2 linked regions of the Callithrix jacchus genome follow. The protein of the gene in region 1 interacts with the protein of each later gene in a pairwise test. Links are inferred from orthologs where the notes say so. Each region holds a gene or a part of one and is shown on either strand. Other genes may lie near its edges.

Region 1 (10,673 bases):
AGGACTCACTTGTTCTGGGGGAGATATCACACAGGCCATGGAAGCCTCAGGCTGCCACCCTGGGCAGAGAGCTCAGCTGGCATGGCAGACTTAGGGGCTCAATGGGTGAATGGTGTCAAAGGCCGTGCATCTAGGCCGGGCATGGTGGTTCACACCTGTAATCCCAACACTTTGGGAGGCTGAGGCAGGACAATCACTTGAGCATGGGAGTTTGAGACCAGCCTGGGCAACATAGCAAGACTCCAGCTCTACAAAAAATATAAAAAATTAGCCAGGTGTGATGATGCCCACCTGTGGTCCCAGCTGCTTGGGAGGCTGAGGCGGGAGGATTGCTTGAGACCACAAGGCAGAGGCTGGAGTCAGCTATGATCACACCACTGCACTGGTGACAGAGATAGACTCTATTTCAATCTCAATCAATCAATCGAGAGCCACACTAAAAAAAAACAAAAAAAGCCTGGGCACAGTGTCTCACACCTGTAATCCCAGCACTTTGGGAGGCCAAGGAGGGCAGATTACCTAAGGTCAGGAGATCGAGACCAGCCTGGACAACATGGTGAAACACTGTCTCTACTAAAAATACAAAAATTAGCCAGGTGTGATGTCGCACACCTGTGATCCCAGCTACTTGGGAGGCTGAGGGGGAGAATCGCTTGAACTTGGGAGGTGGAGGTTGCAGTGAGTCAAGATCACACCACTGCACTCCATGCTGGGTGACAGAGTGAAACTCCATCTCAAAAAAAAAAAAAAAAAAAAAAAGAGGCCTTGTAGTCTTGAAGGACTGAGGGGGTCTGAGGACATGAAGATACCCCAGATTCCCAGAGGTTACATTAGAAGTAGCAGAGAGAAGAGGAACCAGGAGACAGAGACAGGGGCCAGGAGAGGGTCAGTGTAGTCGGTCATGGTGCGGCAGCCTGGCCAGGTAAGGGCAAGCCATGACCACAGGGCTCAGCCCACAGGAGATGGGTGATCTCGGTCACAGTAGACGAAGGGACAAAAGTCTTGCTAAGAGAGTAGAGAGCCCTGGTTTTCCGTTTGAGCACATGCTGGAATCGCCTGAACAATTTTTTTGAAAGACAGAACTGGCTGTTGGGTAAGGTGGCTCACGCCTGTAATCCTAACACTTTGGGAGGCCGAGGTGGAGGATCATCTGAGGTTGGGAGTTCAAGACCAGCCTGGCCGACAGGGCAAAACCCCGTCTTTACTAAAAATACAAAAGATTAACTGGGTGTGGTGATGAGCACCTGTAATTCCAGCTACTCAGGAGGCTGAGGCAGGAGAATCGCTTGAACCCGGGAGGCAGAGATTGCAGTGAGCCGAGATCACACCACTGCACTCCAGCCTGGGCAACAGAATGAGACTTGATCTTAAAAAGAAAGGAAGTTCTAAGGTCAGCTATCCAAGAAGGCCCAGGAATGCCTTCTCACCTGTACACAAGTATGAGAGTCCCACCCACAGATCACTTTTAACGCCACCACCAGCATGACCTTCAGCGAAGTGAGCTTCCAAAATGTTGGACAGGCATCGTGGCTCAAGCCTGTAATACCACACTGTGGGAGGCCGAGGCAGGAAGATTGCCTGAGCCCAGGAGTTAGAGACCAGCGTGGGCAACACAGCAAGACCCTGTGTCTATGAAATACTTAAAAATTAGCCAGGCATGGTGGCATGTGCCTATAATCTCAGCTACATGGGAGGCCAAGACAGGAGGCTCACTTGAGCCCAGGAGGTCAAGGCTGCAGTGAGCCATGACCGCGCCACTGCACTCCAGCCTGGGGGACAGAGTGAGTCCCTGTCTCAAAAACCGAAACAAAAAAATCCTTCTCAGCACCAGCCCAGCCTCCTATGTGTTTACATAGATGCAGGAACCTGTTTTTTTTTTTTTTTTTTTTTTTTCTGAGCCCGAGTCTCACTCTATTTGCCCAGGTGGAGTGAAGCGGTGCAATCTTGGCTCACTGAAACCTCTGCCCCCAAGGATTAAGCGATTCTCATGCCTTGGCCTACCAGGTAGCTGGGATTACAGGCATGAACCAACACACCCAGCTAACATTTTGTATTTTTAGTAGAGATGGGCTTTCACGATATTGGCCAGGCTGGTCTTGAACTTCTGACCTCAAGTGATCCACCCACATCAGCCTCACAAAGTGCTAGGATTACAGGCATGAGCCACCGTGTCCAGCCAAGACCAAGAACCTGTTCTTGGCTGTTGAATGGACCCAGGTTCCAATACCACGTCCTTGGAAACAATACCTGTGTCTTTAGTCAGGTGTCTTTAGGGAAGCCACTGTCCTTCTCAAGCCTCAGTTTTCCTCTGAGCTTACCCCACACTGACATGGTGTGACGATGGCTGGTAACATCAATGATCTACATCCCCCAAATCAGGCACAGCATCCCCCAAATCACACACATTCTGTCAATTTGGGAGTTGTGCCCCTGGTGGTAGAGACCGGGAAGGCACTGGACCCTGGGGTTTGGACTGGAATGAATTTGGGAGTTGTGTGTCGCCCCCTTGTGGTAGACGCCGGGAAGGCACCGGGCCCTAGGGTTTGGACTGGAATGATGAACGCGGGAGTTGTGTGTCGCCCCCTTGTGGTAGACGCCGGGAAGGCACTGGGCCCTAGGGTTTGGACTGGAATGATGAATTTGGGAGTTGTCCCAGTGGGTGTCTGTCGACTACAGAGGAGTGAATGCAGCCGAACCCTAGAAATTTTGGAGCTAAGGAAGAATCAGAAAAGAGATGGAAGGCCGGGCGCAGTGGCTCAAGCCTGTCATCCTAACACTTTGGGAGGTCGAGGTGGGCAGATCCCTTGAGGCCAGAAGGTTGAGATCAGCCTGGCCAACATGGTGAAACCACGTCTCCACTAAAAATGTAGAATTTAGCCAGGCGTGATGCTGGGTGCCTGTAATCCCAGCTACTCCGGAGGCTGAGGCAGGAGAATCGGCTGAACCCGGGAGGCAGAGGTTGCAGTGATCCGAGATCGCGCCACTGCACTCCGATCTGGTGACAGAGAGACTCCATCTAAAAAAAAAAAAAAAAAAAAAAAAAAAAGGCGGGCCGGGCGCGATGGCTCAAGCCTGTAATCCCAGCACTTTGGGAGGCCAAGGCGGGTGGATCATGAGGTCAAGAGATTGAGACCATCCTGGTCAACATGGTGAAACCCCGTCTCTACTAAAAATACAAAAACTTAGCTAGGCATGGCTGCATGTGCCTGTAATCCCAGCTACTAGGGAGGCTGAGGCAGGAGAATTGCCTGAACCCAGGAGGCGGAGGTTGCGGTGAGGCGAGATTGCACCATTGCACTCCAGCCTGGGTAACAAGAGTGAAACTCCGTCTCAAAAAAAAAAAAAAAAGGCTGGTGATTCTCATACACAGCTAAGGTGAGAATCCCCGGTTCCCCTGAGTCACTCCGAGCTGCTGTTAATGTGCAGGTTCTGACCCAAGTGATGAGTCAGGTCCCAGGTGATGCCAATGCTGTCCTTCTGTGGACCACACTTGGAGCAGGAATAATGAAGAGAAGGCTGGGCAAGGTGGCTCACAACTGTAATCCTGGCATTTTGGGAGGCCAAGATGGGTGATCGCTTGAGCCCAGGAATTCCAGACCAGCCTGGGCAACATAGTGAGCTTCTGTTTCTAGCACACACACACACACACACACACACACGAGCTGGGTGGGATGGTGTGTGCCTGTAGTCCCAGCTACTAGGGAGGCTGAGGTAGTAGGATCAATTGAGCCTGGGAATTAGAACGCTGCAGTGAGTGTATGATTGTGACAACTGCCCTCCAGCTTGGACAACAGAATGAGACCCTGTCTCTTAAAAAAAAAAAAAAAAAAAAGACTCGGAAACGAAGTGGTTGAACTTGCTTTCTTTCCTTTCCTTCTCTTCTCCTCCTCTCCTCTCTTCTCCTCCCCTCTCCTCTCCCTCCCTTTCTTTCTCTCTTCTTTTTTGATAGAGTCTTGCTCTGTCACCCAGGCTGGATTGCAGTGGTGCAATCTTCGCTCACTGCAACCTCCACCTCCCGGGTTCAAACGATTCTTCTGCCTCAACCTCTTGAGTAGCTGGGATTACAGGCACCTGCCACCACGCCCAGCCAATTTTTGTATTTTTAGTAGAGATGGGGTTTCACCATATTGGTCAGGCTGGTCTTGAACTCCTGACATCAGGTGATCCACAGCCTTGGCCTCCCAAAGTGCTGGAATTACAGGAACGAGCCACTGCACCCAGTCACCCAGCCTGGTCGTTTTCTTTTTCTTTGAGATGGAGTCTCGCTCTGTCACCAGGATGGAATGCAATGGCGCCATCTTGGCAGAATCCTGACGCCTGTGCTCTTAACGGAGGCTTGAAAACAAATGGGCAGAGCACTTCTCATCGTGTCATGTATCCCACTGCAGCAGAGCAGATGCAGGAAGGGCCTGCGGAAGAGCAAAGTCCTCAAAACAAATGAGTCTCCCTCCCAGCTCCATCTGGGTCCTTCTCATTTAGTTAAATAAATTCAAGAAAGGTCAGCCAGGGGGAACATGGTGGCTCATGCCTGTAATCCCAGCACTTTGGGAGGCCAAGGCGGGCGGATCACTTGAGGTCACGAGTTTGCTACCAGCTGGCCGACATGGTGAAACCTCGTCTCTACTAAAAATACAAAAATTAACTGGGCGTGATGGTGTGCGCCTGTAATCCCAGCTACTTGGGAGGGGGAAGCAGGAGAACCGCTTGAACCGGGGAGGCGGAGGTTGCTGTGAGCAGAGATTGCACCATTGCACTCCAGCCTGAGTGACACAGCCAGACACCGTCTAAAAAAAAAAAAAAAAAAAAGCCGGGCGCAGTGGCTCACGCCTGTAATCCCAGCACTTTGGGAGGCTGAGGTGGGTGGATTACCTGAGGTCAGGAGTTCGAGATCAGCCTGACCAATATGGTGAAACCCCATCTTAAAAAAAAATTTTTTTTTTAAATAATAATAATGAAAAGAAAAACAAGCAATTCTTGGCTATGAGTATACAGTAGACGCTCAGTCAAGGTAATTGAAGGATTGGATGACAGCTGATGAATCCCCAGGTGCCTGCGCCGGTCGCTACCCGTGCACTCTGGTAGCTACGAGGGTCCAGCCAGGGCGCTCGCACCAAGACCCCGCGGGGGCGCTGTGGGGGTGACGTGCAGGTCCCGGCGTGGTCGTCATGGTATGAGTTCCCCCCAGTCTTGCTTGCGTATTTGGCGCCTCCGTGGGAGCTCCTGGCAAGGGTCCTCGCGGCGCGGCTGCAGACAGGGACCGACAGCTCCGGAATCCCGGAGAAGCCAGCGCGGACCAGGGGGAAGTGGGAGTTCGTTAGGGCGCGGCTCGGGCACTTTGCGGGGTTGGGAATGGGAACATGGGTGCTCAAGGTGGCGGATGGGAGCACGTGGGCGGCGGATGCCAGGGCCGCGGGGTGTGCTCCATCTTCCGGCTCCCGGTCCGCGGTGAGCGAGAGTGGACTAGCACCTGCAGGTGACAGCTGGGGCTGGACAAATGCCGGGCGGTGCACAGGACTCTGGCCGGCCTCAGAGCTGTTTGGCGCCAGCTGGCGGCTTCCTGCCAACCGGACCACGATCGGCGCTGCACTCCCGGCTCTCCTGGGCGCCCCTTGCTGGGCGGAGCCGGGGCCCAATAGGACTGGCCTCCAGCGCATAGGGGTTGGGGACCGGCTTGAGGGTGGGAGATAGTTTCTGGAGTGGACAAGGTGAATGGCAGATGCCAGGTGGTGACCTAGTTTCCCAGGCCTTGGGGCAGAGTCAGTTTACCCCAGAGGGCAGAGTGGTGGCCGTGGACCCGCTGTACACACAGGAAGGGCTGCCCAATCTCCGTGGGTGATGGGGTCGAGGAGAGGTCCCTGGACCGAGGTGCTTGTTGACTCTGGATCTCTCTGGACAGATGGTGACAGAGACTGGGAAGTAGCATGGCTTAGTTCTGGGGGTGGCCGAATGAGGAAATTGATGGGGAATGAAGACTCCTGGGGGCCCCCAGGCCCCTGACAGGGGTTAGGGGCCTGGGGGACAGAGAACACAGTGCTGTCCCTGGAGATGGAGAGGGGGCTTGCACTACAGCCAGATCTAGGGAACTTCAGAGCATGGGAACAGGGGAGTGTCCTCTGGACCTGCTGCCAGGGTTTTTTCATCCCATGGTAACTGTGCCCTTCTCCCAAGATTGTGCAGAATCAGTGCCTCTGACTTGGAACTGGGGCTGGCTAGGAACCTCCTAGCCTTACTTTCTCTACCAGTAAAATGGGCCCTTTGGGCCAGGCATGGTGGCTCATGCCTGTAATCCTAGAACTTTGGGAGACCGAGGTGGGTGAATCGCAAGGTCAGGAGTTCGAGACCAGCCTGGCCAACATGGTGAAACCCCGTCTCTACTAAATTTACAAAAATTAGCCAGGAGTGGTGGTGGGTGCCTGTAGTCCCAGCTACTTGGGAGGCTAAGGATAATCGCTTGAACCAGGAAGGTGGAGGTTGTAGTGAGCCCTGCCTGGGCAAGAGTGAGATCCGGTCTACTAAAAAAGAAAAAAAAAAGGGGGGGGGGCCCTTGACTCAGTCCTATCCTCCTCCCCAGGTAGAGAGGGTCCCAGGCAGCCATGGGCTCGGTGACCAGAGGAATGCGAAGTACTCAGCAGACATTTCCCAAGCCTCTCCCCAAGGTCAGCTTTTCATCCTCCTATCCACACCAAAGGGCTCACTCGTCATCATGACACCCTTAAGGATGAGGGAATTGGAAGGCAGGGGGGTCAAGTCTTCTCCAGGGTCCCACAGTTGTAGTTTCAAGGCTTCTGACTAAGGGGGAGCTTAGGTGGCCTTGGAGCACTGGGGCCTCCCAATGGCATGTCCCGCCCCATCCTGAGTGACAACCACCTCAGCTGGGGCCCAGGGGTGCTGGGAGGGTGGACACCCAACCCAAGCCATGTGAGCTGAGGCTGCAGCCCCATCAAGGACAGGGCAGTCTTCAGGTCCCCGGTGAGGCTGTGGGCAGTGGGGCAGACAGATCGGTTCTAAGGGCCTGAGGATCCCCTCCTGTCCCTTGAAGTAGCTGAAGGGCCTCTAGAGCCCAGAGCTGTCCATCTTTGAGGTGATGTGGCCCTGGGCTTCTGTACCTGGATGGCTTCGACTCAGAGCCTGAGGTGGACACGTTGGGGGATGGAAAGTCCAAGGAAGCCAGGTGCGGTGGCTCATGCCTGTAATCTCAGCACTTTGGGAATCCGAGGCTCACCTGAGCTGGGATTACAGGTGCCAGCCACCATGCCTAGCTAATTCTTTGTATTTAGTAGAGATGGGGTTTCACCATGTTAGTCAGGTTGGTCTCAAATTCCTGACCTCAGGTGCTCCACCTGCCTCTGCCTCCCAAAGTGCTGGGATTACAGGTGTGAGCCAGTGTGCCCAGCCAGGACTTCTTAAAACCGGAGAGTCCCATCCCGTTTGGTTTCTGGACAAGGGAGAACAGGACATTGGGTCCTGGAGACCTCAACTACAGCTGGAAGTGGGGACCTGGGCCCCAGTATTGGGGTGATAGGGAGACAGCACACAGGTGGGGTGTGAGGCTTGGACCTGCGGATCCAGGTGGTCCTCATGAAACATGATCTCTCCATGACTGCTGGGCTGTGGCCCACTGCGTTTCGGAGGGGTAAGGGACGGGGACACAGCACAGGCTGGCTCATGGTGCCTTCTTTATTGTCCACCTCAACCCCCCTTCCCTGCAGCCCCCTCCTAACGACAAAACTACCCACACCCCATGGCCCAACCCCAAAGTGTTGGGATTCAGAGCTGCGAGAACACTGGAAGCTCCCCCTCTGACAGCAACGGCGACACCTTGGGTGCAAGTGGGGCTGGATCTGGGTGGGCAGAGGAGTGGGGAGGCTGAGCCTCAGCGCCTTGGGCCCCTGCCCCCGTCTCCACCCAAGCATTCCTCGGCCTTACCCGCCGCCGGGGCGTCGGGGCGTGGCGGCCCGGGCGCGGGGGCCGCGGGGGTGCCGGGGCGGTGGTCCTCCAGGTGCAGGGTCATGGCGGGCCGCGAGGCCGTGGAGAAGGCGCACTGCATGCACGAGTAGCGGCCGCGCGTGTGCTCCCACACGATGCGGCTCGGGGCCGCGTGCCCTGCAGGCAGGTGGGACCCTGTCAGTCCCCAACCCAGAGGACCCGTACGCCAAGGATGGAGGACACGGGCAAGGGTGGGTGGGACCTTTCCCCGCCCCCATCAGCTTCCAGGCGCCTGGATCCGTCTCTCCGGGGTCTGTCTGCCCCTAGAGTTGGGGAAACCCAACTTCGCTTCTCCGCGTCCCCTATTCCCATTCCCGGATCCACCGCCGGGGAGAAGCCCGCTTCGAGGTGAACGGTGAACGGGGCACGAGGTTTACACGGGAACGCCGGCGCAGATGAAGGCGCAGGTGCCAGTCATATTTAAGGCAAAAATCCTGTATTTCGGGACGGTGGCATTTCTGTACCCCTGGGAAGGGGATGGGCACTGCTGCCTCCCGGTATCCACCTCACCCCGCAGGGCGCAGGAAAGAAAGCCCTTCCACCCCTCCCTGGTGGTCACCTGCACGCACCTGAGGGCGCGTCGGAGCCGCCCTGGGGTCTTCGAGGGCTGCTGCCAGCACCTGCGGTAAAGGGGAGGGTCAAGTTCAGAGTCAGGGCGAGCCCAGCCCGCCCTCCTGGAGGCCCCGCTCCACACTCACCTTGGCTCTTTTTCCAGATGGCGGCGCTAGAAGCCGGCGGCCCGGGCGCCGCGGCCAGGAAGGGCCGCAGGCGCGGGGGGCTTAGGCCAAAGGGCGCAGGGTTCAAGTAAGGCAGGAAGGGCCCGGAGGGGGCAGGGGCAGGGGTCGTGAAAGGCTCGAGCAGCGGGAACTGCAGGCCCGGCGCTGACGCGGGGTCGGCCTCTGGGGGGCGCTCGGGCGCGGGTGGCTCCCGGTCCAAGGCCGGGGGTGGCGGCGGGGCTGGACTCTGCGCATGCTCTGCGCAAACATGCAGGTGCTTGAAGAGCGAGCGGTGCGTGCGGAAGCGCAGGAGGCAGTTCTCACACCTGGGGGCGGGCAGAGGGCCGGGCTGGGCCTCCAGGACGACCAGGGATTGGGGCCTGTGCCATGCCACCCGCCCTGCGAGCGTGGGAACGGAGCCTGGGCCCCAGTTGCCTCCCAGCTCCCGGACAACTGTGGCAGCGACCCTTCCTGACCACTTCAGGTGGGAACCCTGGGGAAACCTAGAAAGAAGTCTCAATTTTAAGTTAGGTGGCCGGTTTTCCACTTGGGAAATAAAGCCGGGTTAGGTGGAGCCACGCCCACGTATGCCCCGCCCATCCAGGGAGGCAAGGGCGGGACTTGTCCAAAGCCTTGCCCACATCAAGTCCCGCCCTCCAACATCCTGACCAGGAAAGGAGACAGGCCTGGAACCCACACACAGGGTGAGGCTAGGGCAGGGCGGAGCTCAAGAGGTCAGGGTCTCACTTGAAGTAGCGATTGGGCTTGTAATGCAGTTTGCTGTGAGTCATCAGCTCCTGCATGCTAGGGAAGGTCTCGGTGCAGCTCAGGGCCGAGCAGCGGAAGAGCTTGCCTGGTAGGGATGAAGGACAGAGGAGTGGAGAGAGGTGGCCAAGGCTGGCTCCGAAGGGCTCCGCCTGTTTCCCACCCTAACCTGCCTCCCCATGACCGGCCCTGGCCCTACCTTCCAGGGACTGTGTGGGCGGGCAGTGGGTTCGCAGATGCTGTGCCAGGTCACGGATGCTGGGGAAACTGAGGCAGCAGCCAGGGCTGGAGCAGGGGATTTGCTTCCCTGCAGGACGCACAGAACGGGGGTCACTGGTCCCTTCCTCACTAGTGCTGTCCCTGACCCCAGGGCTCTGCCCCAGAGAAGCAAATATGATGCTAGGGCCTGTACTCTCTGCCTCCCACAAGAGACTGATCTGCCACAGTGCAGGGGCTGGATTGGCCGGGCTCAACACTGAAGCCATAGGCTGGCATCCACTGGCTGCTCAGTAAAATGATGAGTGGCATTCCTCTATAAAGGCCCCCGGGGTTAGAGATTCTCTACTCTTCCCTTCTATTGTTCCAGGGCCTGTGACTCCCCAGAAGGCCCCATCACAGATCACCTGAAGGTGGGCGTCGTCTGGGAGGCCGCAGGTCCTCGCTGGTCCCGGAGACTATGCTCGTCAGGCCCGGGCTGGGTCCCGGCCCAGGCTGGCAGCTGTCTGTTGCTGGGGAGGAGCCCTGCTGAGTCCCTCCAGGCCCTCCACGTTCCCACACTAGTGGTGTGGCTGCCTGCTCAGGGCCTGGCTCCTCCACCATGGAGGAGGAGGTGGCTGCAGCTGGCACAGCCGGGGACAACACCTCCTTGTCGGTCTCACTGGAGCTGGGCTCTGCAGTAGCCTGCATGTCCGGGCTGGGCCCTGAAGGTTTCTCCTCCTGGTGGAAAGGAGAGAGAACCCTTCTCGGATCTGGGTCCACCCAGTTGGCCCCATCCTAAGGAATCACCAGCAGAAGAAGACAGGGGTATAAGTAAGGGTGGACTACTTTTTATAAAGATGGGATCTCGCCATATTGCCTCAGCCTCCCAAAGTACTGGAATTACAGTCATGAGTCACTGCACTGGCCCGGACTGAGCTCCTTATGCACATAGGAGAAGCACCTCCTCTCTTAAACTAGGGTAAGTGGGAGCCCCAGTATGCGACAGAG
Region 2 (10,573 bases), on another chromosome or scaffold:
TTGTGTTTCTAACATTTTTTTTTAAGTAGTGACAAGCAGAATAGTCACCCCTTCACTTAGGGTCCTTTTCCTTTTATCTTCTTTCTTGTCATCTAATAATACTCAACATTACTCTGCTACTTCCCAGGTTGACCTTTTACAAGAAGGATATACTGAGTTTTAATCATTCTCCCTCTAGCATAAATTCCCACCTGACCAGCAGGGGAGGGGGAGAGCAGTTTAGCCCAAATGCTACATAGGGCATGGGAGGCAATTTTGGGACCTTATAATGCCCCCCTGTGCTGCTGTCCCTCCCCTCAAATGTGAGCTCTGCTGGCCCTGATAATAATGTTTCAGCTCTATAATAGCCTTCAAGAGCCTCACATTTACAGCCACACTCTCCCTGCTGTAATAATTCCTTCTTTCTGTTATTATAGATCTCTTAACATTCTAATAAATTCTCTGTCTCTGTTGTACTCTTTTGGCAAAATAACCTTTCACGTTGCATTTCCTTAGCTTGGCAGAGATATCTGCCTCACTGTCACAGTAGCCTCTTCTTAAGCTTCTCTACCTTTCCTTGACTATTGTGGTTCCTCAGGGATGTAACAGCTGTTTCTGTGCTTTTATTTTACATACCAGAGAAGATGCCTTCCCTTGCCAGTTGCATCTCTCTAGGGATACAGGGAGTTTTTCTGTCTTTCAGGCAAGCAGCCCAAAGGGACCTTCCTCATTAAGGGCTACAGTGTACGGATGGCCCCCCACCTGCGAAGAGATTCCAAGAAAGAATCCTGCTTTGAACTGACCTCCCAGGATAGGCGCAGCTATGAGGTAGGACGCGCCAAGGACATGGTGATCCTCATTGGTGTTGCAGTTTCCTTCTGTATTGCATGTGAGCCATGGTTCCTATGCTGGGTTCCAGCCTTTCTTTGTTACCTGCTCATTTCATACCAACTAAGACCCTCTTTCTTGACATGTCCTCACATTTGCCTTGCCATACCCTCCCTCTGTTGCCACTCTCACCCTAGATACAGACTTTGCTTGGCTTCCATCCTTCATTCCTCCCCTTCTCGATTTCACCTCATAGGTGAGCTGCTTGTCAATTGCAGCACACAAGCCAATTCCTTACTTATAGTCTCTGATTTTATGGTTTAAAATCCCATTCTCTTTGTTTTTCACCTGATTTTCTTCACTTCCTTCCACGAAACCCAGAAAACAGAAGATCTAACTGTAGAGTAAAAAAAAAAATTATTTTCCCATGTTTATCTTGCTATCCCAAATAATCTTCCTGTGTGTGGATGCTTTGCATATCTCTGAAGGATTTCTAAGACATTGGTAACAATAGTAACAATAATAACTGAAGGACTAGAGGACCTGGTTGGGGCAAGAAAGACTTATTCCTTGCTGTGCTCAGTTTGAGTCTTTACCTCATTATAAAGTTAATTGGTTTTATTTTATTTTTGCCGTCTTCATCCTGAACGACCAACAAAATTTTTAAATTTCTGATTGTGTGGAAATATAGTGATTTTTACCAATGTATGTTCGCGTGTGTGTGTGTGTATTGTTTCCTGCTTTTTGGTAATTTTTATCTTATCATGATTTTATTAAAGCAATTTAGAAAAACTTCAGCTTATGAAAAAGAGAAAAATCATGCTAAGAGTAAATTAAACGCTTAAGTAACCCTTTTAGTCTTCATACTTTTCTCAGCATTCTTCTTTTTATTTCTACAGTATCTTAACTCTTATTTTGTTAAAGGACCTAGGTCTTCATTATGCAATTTCCAGAAATCATTTAATATTTGTACTAAAACTTTTCTATAGAGTCCTTTATGAATATATGTAATACAGATGTATGCACTGAATATGTTCCTAGTTATTTTTATTATTACATCCTGATAGTAACATATCTAGATAAAAGTTTATGTAACAAGTCTAAACCAATATTTCTAGAAATGTTTTTATAGAAATGTGTTTTTAAGAAATCAAGAATGACAATGTCTATTAAAAAGTATTATTATGCAGGAATTCAGTCTCTTTGTATGGCATATATCTTTATCTTACCCCAATGGCCAGATAATTAAAATGTTTTTCAGGAACAATTATTTCAAGTTGATTTATTTAAAATAAAAAAATTACTAAGGGCTGATGCTTGACTGGCCTATTTTGTAAATCAGAATGTAGTTTATTTACTTCTTTTCTTTGGCCTGTTAAATTCAAATCATTACCATTGTCTGTGGATTCTTCTTCTACAACATCCTATGGCTCTTCCCCTTCTTATTTATTCCCACAGCCATCACAATAGTTAAGTTCACCCAGAGGACCAGTTGGTCTTCTGTCTCCAGATTTTTGTATTTCAGTCCTTCCTACTCACAGCTATTGAAAGAATCCCCCACTCCCTTTGCTAGATTCCTGGAGTTCAGAGTTAAAATGTAGGCAACTCCTGTTGCCTACAGGAGTTGGCAATGTAGGCTAGTACCTGGAGTTCAGAGTTAAAATGTAGGCAACAGGAGTTGCCTACGTTGCCTACATTTTAACTCTGAACACCAGGTACTCAGAGTCATTTTACAAAGTCTTCTCTGACTCACAGCTCTCCAACTTCACCTGTTATTTTTCTCCAGTCAAGTTGATCTGCCAGCCTTCCCCATAAGTCATTTTATTCCTGTTCTTTTGCAATGGGTCTCCCTACCTGAAATGTCCAACTCTATCCACCAGTTTCCACAAACCCTTCTTTAAAATCCAGCCAAAATGGTATTATTACAGCAAGCCACCCTGACCTAACCTACTCTAGGCAACAATAGGTGTTCTCTGTCTCCTCTCGATATCCAGTTGATACCAAATGTGCCTCCTTTGTAGTGTTCCTATTTCATCTGTGTGGGTTGGTTTGCTTTTTTTCTTGTAAACTTTTCTCAAATAAATGCCTGATAAAGGAATAAATAATTAAATGAAAGAATGCACATGGACATGAATGTCTGGACTCAAAGAGCTGTCATCTCTGGGTATGCAAAACTGCTGAATGAAAAATCAGTTTGAGTGAATTATTTGGTCTTTTTTCTATATGTTAAGCAGACAGAGAATCCTGAACTTTAAACTTGACTCTGAAACTCACAGGCTCCTCCCACTTGGACACTGTAAAGATTCATGGAAACTTTAGTGACAATGATAAATTAATTCACTGATTTTTCTCTAGTTTACAGCTACTAGTCCAGCAGAAGCCAGAGACTGGGTGGATCAAATAAGTTTCTTGTTAAAAGGTAAGTGTCAGTTACAGAAATAATACTTGAGTTGATTTGCAGTTGAAGTTATGTTGCATAAATGTAATCTACAGGCTTATGTATTTGTTCTATCCTTTCTCACATCTGCCTTTCCTACCACATTCCTCATATTATAACAACAAATAGTACTATGTATTAATGAGAAGATAAAGATGACATCAACCTGGAGAAGACCTCTGATATCATAGCTCATCCACCTACCTGCAGGCAAGTCTGTAATATTCAAAACCACTAAAAAAGAAGATTCTAAAAATCAGCTCAGCCCAGTTCAGTGTCTCCTAACCCCTTATATTCTGGAAAGGAAATTCATAGTATCCAACTTAAAGTCATCTAGTTGTAATTGAAGTTCAAAATTACATTTTATTTTATTTTTTTTCTTATTTTAGTCTTAGGATGAAGTAGAAATCTAAACTAATCTAGATAGTCTTCAAGGACATTGTACATTAAAAACAAATTGCTATTTCCCAAGCCACAATAAGATGTTCCTTGCTTTGGGATGGGAGGATACCTGCCTGAAGACGGTAAATGACTGCTCTTAGAGTACCCTCTGCTGGCCAGCCTATAGACAAAGCAGAAACAGTGGCCCAGGAAGCCTTATCTGGGAGTGGCCTGGCAGGTAGAAGAAGCCAACTTTGAGTGTGTCACTTGGTGTTAGATAATCCTCACTTACCATCATGGCAGGACCCTACCTCTGCAGAAAGGCAGAAGCACCAACTTTATACATGGCCCAAGACCTAGAAAGAAACACGTCAGCCTAAAAGCACCAAGCCTTTTCATCTGTTTTTTATTCTGCTGTGAGATTTCATTGTGGATAAAAGAAGGAAGCACCAGAGCTTTAATTACAAAAATTGTCTGTTTTACTCAGTTATGCCTTCGCTATCACAAAAACAAACTATTGCACCTACCAACAGCGTCACGTATAATAGACTGGAACTAGGCAAACATGAACATTGATGGCGAGACTACAGGGTACATTCTCATCTAGGTGCCTTGGATTTATGCGTGTAATATACCCCTAAGTGTGTAAACCTCAATAAAACTCAAAGCAGCTTTATTGAGCTGTACCCTGTGGTACTTTCAGAATCCCACATTGAAGAAATTATTCATTCCATTATATTTTAAAACAAACAAAATAATAACATATGGTTTAAGCCACAAATGTGTTTTTGATCCTTTCCTCATATGTGGTGGCACCAAAATTCAGATGAAAATTGTTGCAAAATCTTTATTAAAAGCCTAATCAAGCCAAACAGTTTTATTACATTTTGAAATGAATGTTGGACGTCTCTCTATCCTTTCCTTCCCCAGAGTACGGTGACTGCACTCACCCATCCTGCAGAGGGCCCTCAGCAGGGTTTCAGAGAGCACTCTGTAGTACACATCAGAGAATGAACATTCCCAGTTCCCCATTAAAATAAAAAACCAATCTCCCTCCCCTGCCCTGGTGCTCCCCAGTGCTTTAATGGCTCAACACCCTCTATACAGTGACCCACTTTAAGGGCAGCTAGACTCTGCAGTTGCAAAAGGACATGGTAACTGCATTGTTCAGCTATTCCATTTGGTCTTGTATTACTGTTATATTTTTCCATACCCTGTTTCTTTTTCTCTTTCACTGTTGACCATTTTTTTCTCTGCAAACAAACATGTCTGAAATTCTGCAGTGAAATCATTGGGGAGATGAGCTTCTGACAGCTCCAACATTCTACAGAATTCCCATGGCCTATGCACCCTGGAGGACTGCAAGCCTTCACTCACCCTTCCAGTTTTCTACTTGATGAGTTGTGTGTAGCACACTGGCTTTTCCTCTTCTGGCCTATTTTCTTCCCTTCACCTCGTGTTCTCATTTACACACCCATACTTTTCAGGGCTGCTTCACCCTGATCAAGTTTTATTGCAAGGAAAGATTTATGCTGATGGTTTAAACCTGATGCAGTGCTAGTCTGGCCTTTTCTGTAGATTTCCTGCCACCAAAGCTCACATTAGAAATAACAGCATTTAACCTGGTGTTTCATTTTCTTTTGACATGTTTTACTCTGATCCCTCTTCCTCCTTCTCCCTCTTCCCTCCCATCTTATTATTTCATTTTTCTCTGTTTCTTGATTCATTCTCATCTTTGCCCTTGCAGATCTGAGCTCCTTAACCATTCCATGTGAAGAGGAGGAGGATGAAGAAGAAAAAGAAGAGACATATGATGATATTGATGGTTTTGACTCCCCAAATTCTGGTTCCCAGTGCAGACCCACTATCTTGCCTGGTAGTGTGGGGATAAAGGAGCCTACAGAGGAGAAAGAAGAAGAAGATATTTATGAAGTCTTGCCAGGTGAGAAATTTTGTGCTCCGATTATCTTCTGCTAGTTTCAGAAATTCATGACCTGATTAAAGAATAATAACTTTGAAAATTCCAAAAGAAGTCAAATCTAACCTTCATCCTCTGAAGGAGATAGTGTGGGAAGCTTTATGAGATTGTAGGGAAAACAATAATGAAGCTCTGCCTTGCTCTAGGAGCAAGAAGAAATTGATTATGGAGTGTCTTCTATCCATGCCATGTGAAGTAACTTAGTACATGTCCACCAGATTAAATAGTCAAGAGCATCTACATTGGTTTTTATTGGTTTACTGTGAGTTTTGGGATGAGTCATCAAAATTCTCAAGTTTCAACTTTTTGGCGTGTAGTTGTGAAAATAATGGAAAATTGCTTCAAAATTATGAAGGATTTCAAAAATCTGAAACATGTTGTAAATGCTGACAAACATTTTTAGTAATACCTTGATAGAGCAAACCTTCATAATAAACCTTGATAGAGAACAACGCATTATTACCTAGTTCAGCTATACCATGAATCAAATCACAACTCTTTTTTTTTTTTCCATGCGTCGTGTCCACATGATCAGCATCACACCTGTGGACAGGATTATCACTACTTTTAAAAAGAAGCCTAACATGTTTTATCTGCTCATCATTACAACATATCTACTCTCTCTATATTTCCTTTTTTCCAAAGGCATGAAAACTATCATCTTAAAAACTATATAGTCATCACTGCTTCTGCATAGCCACTTCTAGTGGGGATAACAACAGCTGGTGAACAGTGCAGAGCTCAGTGGGGGTCAGATGGAGGAGAACCAAAGCCTGAGCTTTTAATTGTGAGGTAGTTAGACCACAGAACGCTAATCTTCAAGTCCATTCAGAAAGATGGTTCCTATGGAAATTTGCCAGGAGTTCAGTGCTCTGCTGAGAAATTCAAGTTAAGCTTAAATTTATAGCAATTTAAGCCTCAATCCCAGATGAACCTAGGAACTAAGGTGAATCTAACACTCAAGCCCCTGAAGATAGGGCTGGTTGCTAAAAGCATCAACAGTAAGCAACTTGCATTTCAAGGCTTCCTAAGAAGAGCATCCAACCCTCTCCACTCTGCATTTATCTCTTCCTGGGGAAGAAGCTACGTCATTGCTTCCTGAGTTAAGGGGCAGGACTTTGGCCACATTTCCCCACCCTGCTGGGGACTTTACCCACCCACCAAGGAGAGCCTGCTTCTTCTCCTAGCACTTCCAGTCTCGACTTCTCCAGCCTTTTTGTTGTGTTTTATTATGCAAATGATATCTTGGTTGAGGTCGAGCCATTTCTTGTGTCTGACGTTAAAAAAAATGATAATTTCCTCAGCAAGTCATCGTCGTTAATGAAGTTTTACAAAAACAGATACAACCAAAGGAAAATAAAATTTCACAGGTGATAAATTTTTCCAATTTCCCTGGCAGAATTCGATAGGATTGTTAAATTAAGAGTGAAGGTGTCTGTTAGAAAGCAACGAGCAGTGATGGGTAATTTTATAGAGTGGAAAATTGAATCAAATTGCTACATTAAAACACAGCTCCTCTGAGAATCTTCCCTTTCACAGTCAGCTCCATTGCAACAGCAGGGTGCAGAAATGGATCTAATTCACAACACTCCCTAAAAGGAGATGCACTCCCCAACTTGGCCAGAATCTTCCTAGTGAGCTCATATTCTGCTCACTCTTGCCCAGGCTTGGGGAAATATCCGGATGACAGTCCACTTTGGGTGACAACTGTGGAAGAGTGCTCTGGGAATGCCTCAGTGAACCTTCTGGGGTAGAAAGAAAGGAAAGAAACATGTACCATGTTTTGTTTTCAAAAGAGCCAGGGAGGAGGGGGCTGATGCTCAGAGATACAGAGCAAAGGAGAATAAAGAGAAAGAGACCTCAAAAAATTAGATGAGTTTGGGACTGTCACCTTATCCCAGGAGTGGGAAGTGAAGGTATGATTGGCTACCTAATGACCGTCTTTCTCTTGCCTCCTAAACTTTTCCCCTTGGCCATTGCAGCACTGCCCAGAGTATTAGGGCATTTTTCCAAAATTCCTACCAGCTGGTATGTTGGAGTCGCTCCAATGGCATGAAGACTGGTCTGAGGGTACACTTACCCTGTATCCACAACAGCTGTCCATTGGAAGTGAGGAAAGCCACACAGTAGGAAATCCAGGGTCTCTTTCTGCAGGTTAAGGAAACAGCAGCTAAGCACCCTTTTAGTTTCCAAAGAACAGCACTGTACCCAGCCAACAGGTTCTTTCCCATAAGCCTCTATCCATCACAGTTCTTAGAGACAGAGTTGGAGGTGGGATATATTGGCATTTAATTATGATATGAATATTTCAGCAACCAGTCACTATCACTCAACTTCCTGTCCACTCCACTCAGCTGTTGCTTCTGAACTTACTGTTTGAATTTTGCATGTGCCACACCATCAGTCCTGGAGAAACTGAGAAGGGAAAGTGAGGGGGCCTAACACTGTCTCCTTTCTGCTGCCCTCTTACAAGACCACCTGCCAACCAGCAGCACATGAGACAGCATAGTATCATAGGTACAGATACTGGCTCTTAAGTCTGGATGGATCTGCCCTGCCACCTGCTAGCTGTGAGACCTTGAGCAAGTTACTTGCCCTCTCTGCCTGTTTGTACTACCTGTAAAATGGGGAAAACAATAGTAGTTGTCTTAGAGGGATGTGGTAAGGAGTCTAGAACTGACATGTGTAAAGTTCTTAGCACAGAGCCCTGACATACAATGGCATACAGTGAGTACTCAGTAAATGCTGGCTATTATTAATGTGATGGTGTTTAAACAAGAAGTGTTATCTCCTTGAAGAACTGGGGTGGTTAGGTCCCCGCCCTCTCAAACCAGACCCAAGACAGTCCAGTTGGATATTTCCAGCTATGTGTATGGAGCAGGTGAAATTGAAAATCCTGAGCAGATGGAATGTGGAGTGCACCTTCTGCCCAGGCCCATTTTTACTGCGAGGCCAGGTGCTGCGTGGAAGGATGGCCTACAGTAACGTTGGATTGTGCTAACACTGCATACCCATCAAGAGTCAAATATGTGGGCCTCTAACATTTGTTTCATTATAACAAGTAAATATGCTTTGTGGAGGATATTTAACATTGACAGTTCTGCTAATCCTCCCTTTTCCCTCACTGTCTCTATGGGGAAAGCCATGTTAGTGAGACCTCCCTTCCAGAGTATAATTTAGACGGGCTTCCTAATAGGGAGAAAAATGTGTGAAACAAATACCAAGTCAATAAAAAATGTTTTCCGTAATCAAAATAATGTATAGGTCATCACATTAAACTCACTCCATCACATTAATCATGGAATAATTAGCATTTGCTACGTGGCTAGCACTCTTCTCCCCATGAGGGAACACCAGAGCACTCAAGGTTTTCAGCCAGACCATGAAAATGTTAGTGCTGGAAAATATGGTTTCAAGGTTGGTATCTGGTGGGATTTCTGAACATCCGTGTTGAGCATATGGGGGCTGATTTTTTTAGGCTCTCATTTGCAATAGATTAAACTGCAGGGAACTACCACAAAGAAATGCTAAAGCAATATGTAGAAAATAGGAGGCCTTTCTGAGCCCTCTCTCACCACCACCACCACTCTCACAGTTATTTTACAGGCCAGCATAGGCCCAGCTTCATGATTCAAGATTCCATAAAAGGACAGCTTTTATCAAATTTTGTCTGGTGTCTCAAGGCTGGGATCCAGCAAGGCGCCTGAGACCATTGAAGTGGTATAACTGGGGCCTTGTAGCAGCTGCAGTGGCAACAGAATCCGGCTGTGTTCTCTAGAGAGATTTCAGAAGAGCAAATGGAAAGAGAGATGAAGAGCTTTCTTTGGGAATTTCTGTGCACATTCCAATGCTGCCCACACTGCCCCAGGGTGTTATTATAGACCTAGAAACCAGATTGCTTTATAATAAAGCATATAACTGAGTTTTTTTAAATTTTGAGTCAAATGGAAACAAGCATTCTGTGGAATTATTTTTCCCCCTGTACGGTTGTTCAGACCCACAGGAAGGGGTAACAGTGAAGGTAAGAAGTCTAAAGAAATTTAAAAAAATGAAGATGAAAAATACAAAGTTTATAAAGAAAGAGCATCAGTGAAGAGTCAACACCATTATCAGGCCTCCTCTGAACTTCTGGCCTTTTATCTTTCTTACTCCCATACCACTGAGCCCCAGCCACACAGTCCTGCTTGGCCAGCGCCAAAACGGGAATCATGTTGTTTCTTCTACGTAGACTACCCTTCTGATCTCAGCCTGTGAAATCGTACACATTCTGGTCAACTGTCTCCCCAGTGACACCTTCCCAGATACTCAACTGGAATTAAGCTTTGTTTTCACCCTCACCACAGTGATTTGTATTCAGGTCTTTCTCCCCAATTAGTAGATGCTTAGGTATTATTTGTGAGATGAAATTCAGTGCATTCCAAGTGTTGCAGTTAGCACAAATTGAGTTTAATATCTTATACATCAAGCCCATATCACTGAAATAGGATGCAAATATTTTGAGGTATCAGTTGAGATTACCAAATACACAACAAAGAATTAAATGTGTTATTAGCATCTCGCTTTTTCCATGTGGTCTGATGAAGTGCGGTAACATCCGTGGATTTATAACATATCTGTGCATGTTGGGGAGCAGTTTATTTTTACTTTTCTGCACGTCCCCTTTGCACCTTGAGTCTGTCTGTATTTCTGTTGCATCTGTCACCAGAGCACCTTGATGTCTGGTTGTACATTGATACAGTTGGCATTTTTTGAAGCTTTTGTCACTTTCTTTGTTTGGGGAAGTAAGTGATTTCCCCTCTTCCTGATTTAGTCATTTTTTTCTAATATTATTCTTTCTGATATCAGTGTAGCCAATGTCAGAAGAGTGTCAGAGCAGTACTTCAGAAAAGAGCCAGGTGCCATGAGAAGCTGCTGGCTCCCCTCTGTCCCTCTGAGGTAGATTCAGTGTCCTGTTCCTCTCAGCCTCTCAT

What was found.
Region 2: the proteins of PRAM1 (region 1) and SKAP1 interact in binary tests that used the Homo sapiens proteins (3 or more experiments, as listed by UniProt). The two-hybrid records come from large-scale screens. The link is inferred for Callithrix jacchus from reciprocal best matches to the Homo sapiens genes PRAM1 and SKAP1.

The regions. Positions count from the first base shown.
Region 1 is NC_133523.1:8,020,948-8,031,620, forward strand, and holds the start of PRAM1 (PML-RARA-regulated adapter molecule 1), read right to left. Parts: upstream 5,655-10,673; coding exon 5,067-5,654; intron 1-5,066. Other genes in the region: ZNF414 (zinc finger protein 414), read right to left, coding at 7,768-7,841, 7,927-8,103, 8,556-8,606, 8,685-9,028, 9,450-9,555, 9,667-9,774, 10,091-10,403. UniProt on the Homo sapiens protein: May be involved in myeloid differentiation. May be involved in integrin signaling in neutrophils. Binds to PtdIns(4)P.
Region 2 is NC_133506.1:118,102,185-118,112,757, forward strand, and holds part of SKAP1 (src kinase-associated phosphoprotein 1), read left to right. Parts: intron 1-682; coding exon 683-807; intron 808-3,162; coding exon 3,163-3,226; intron 3,227-5,372; coding exon 5,373-5,567; intron 5,568-10,573. UniProt on the Homo sapiens protein: Positively regulates T-cell receptor signaling by enhancing the MAP kinase pathway. Required for optimal conjugation between T-cells and antigen-presenting cells by promoting the clustering of integrin ITGAL on the surface of T-cells.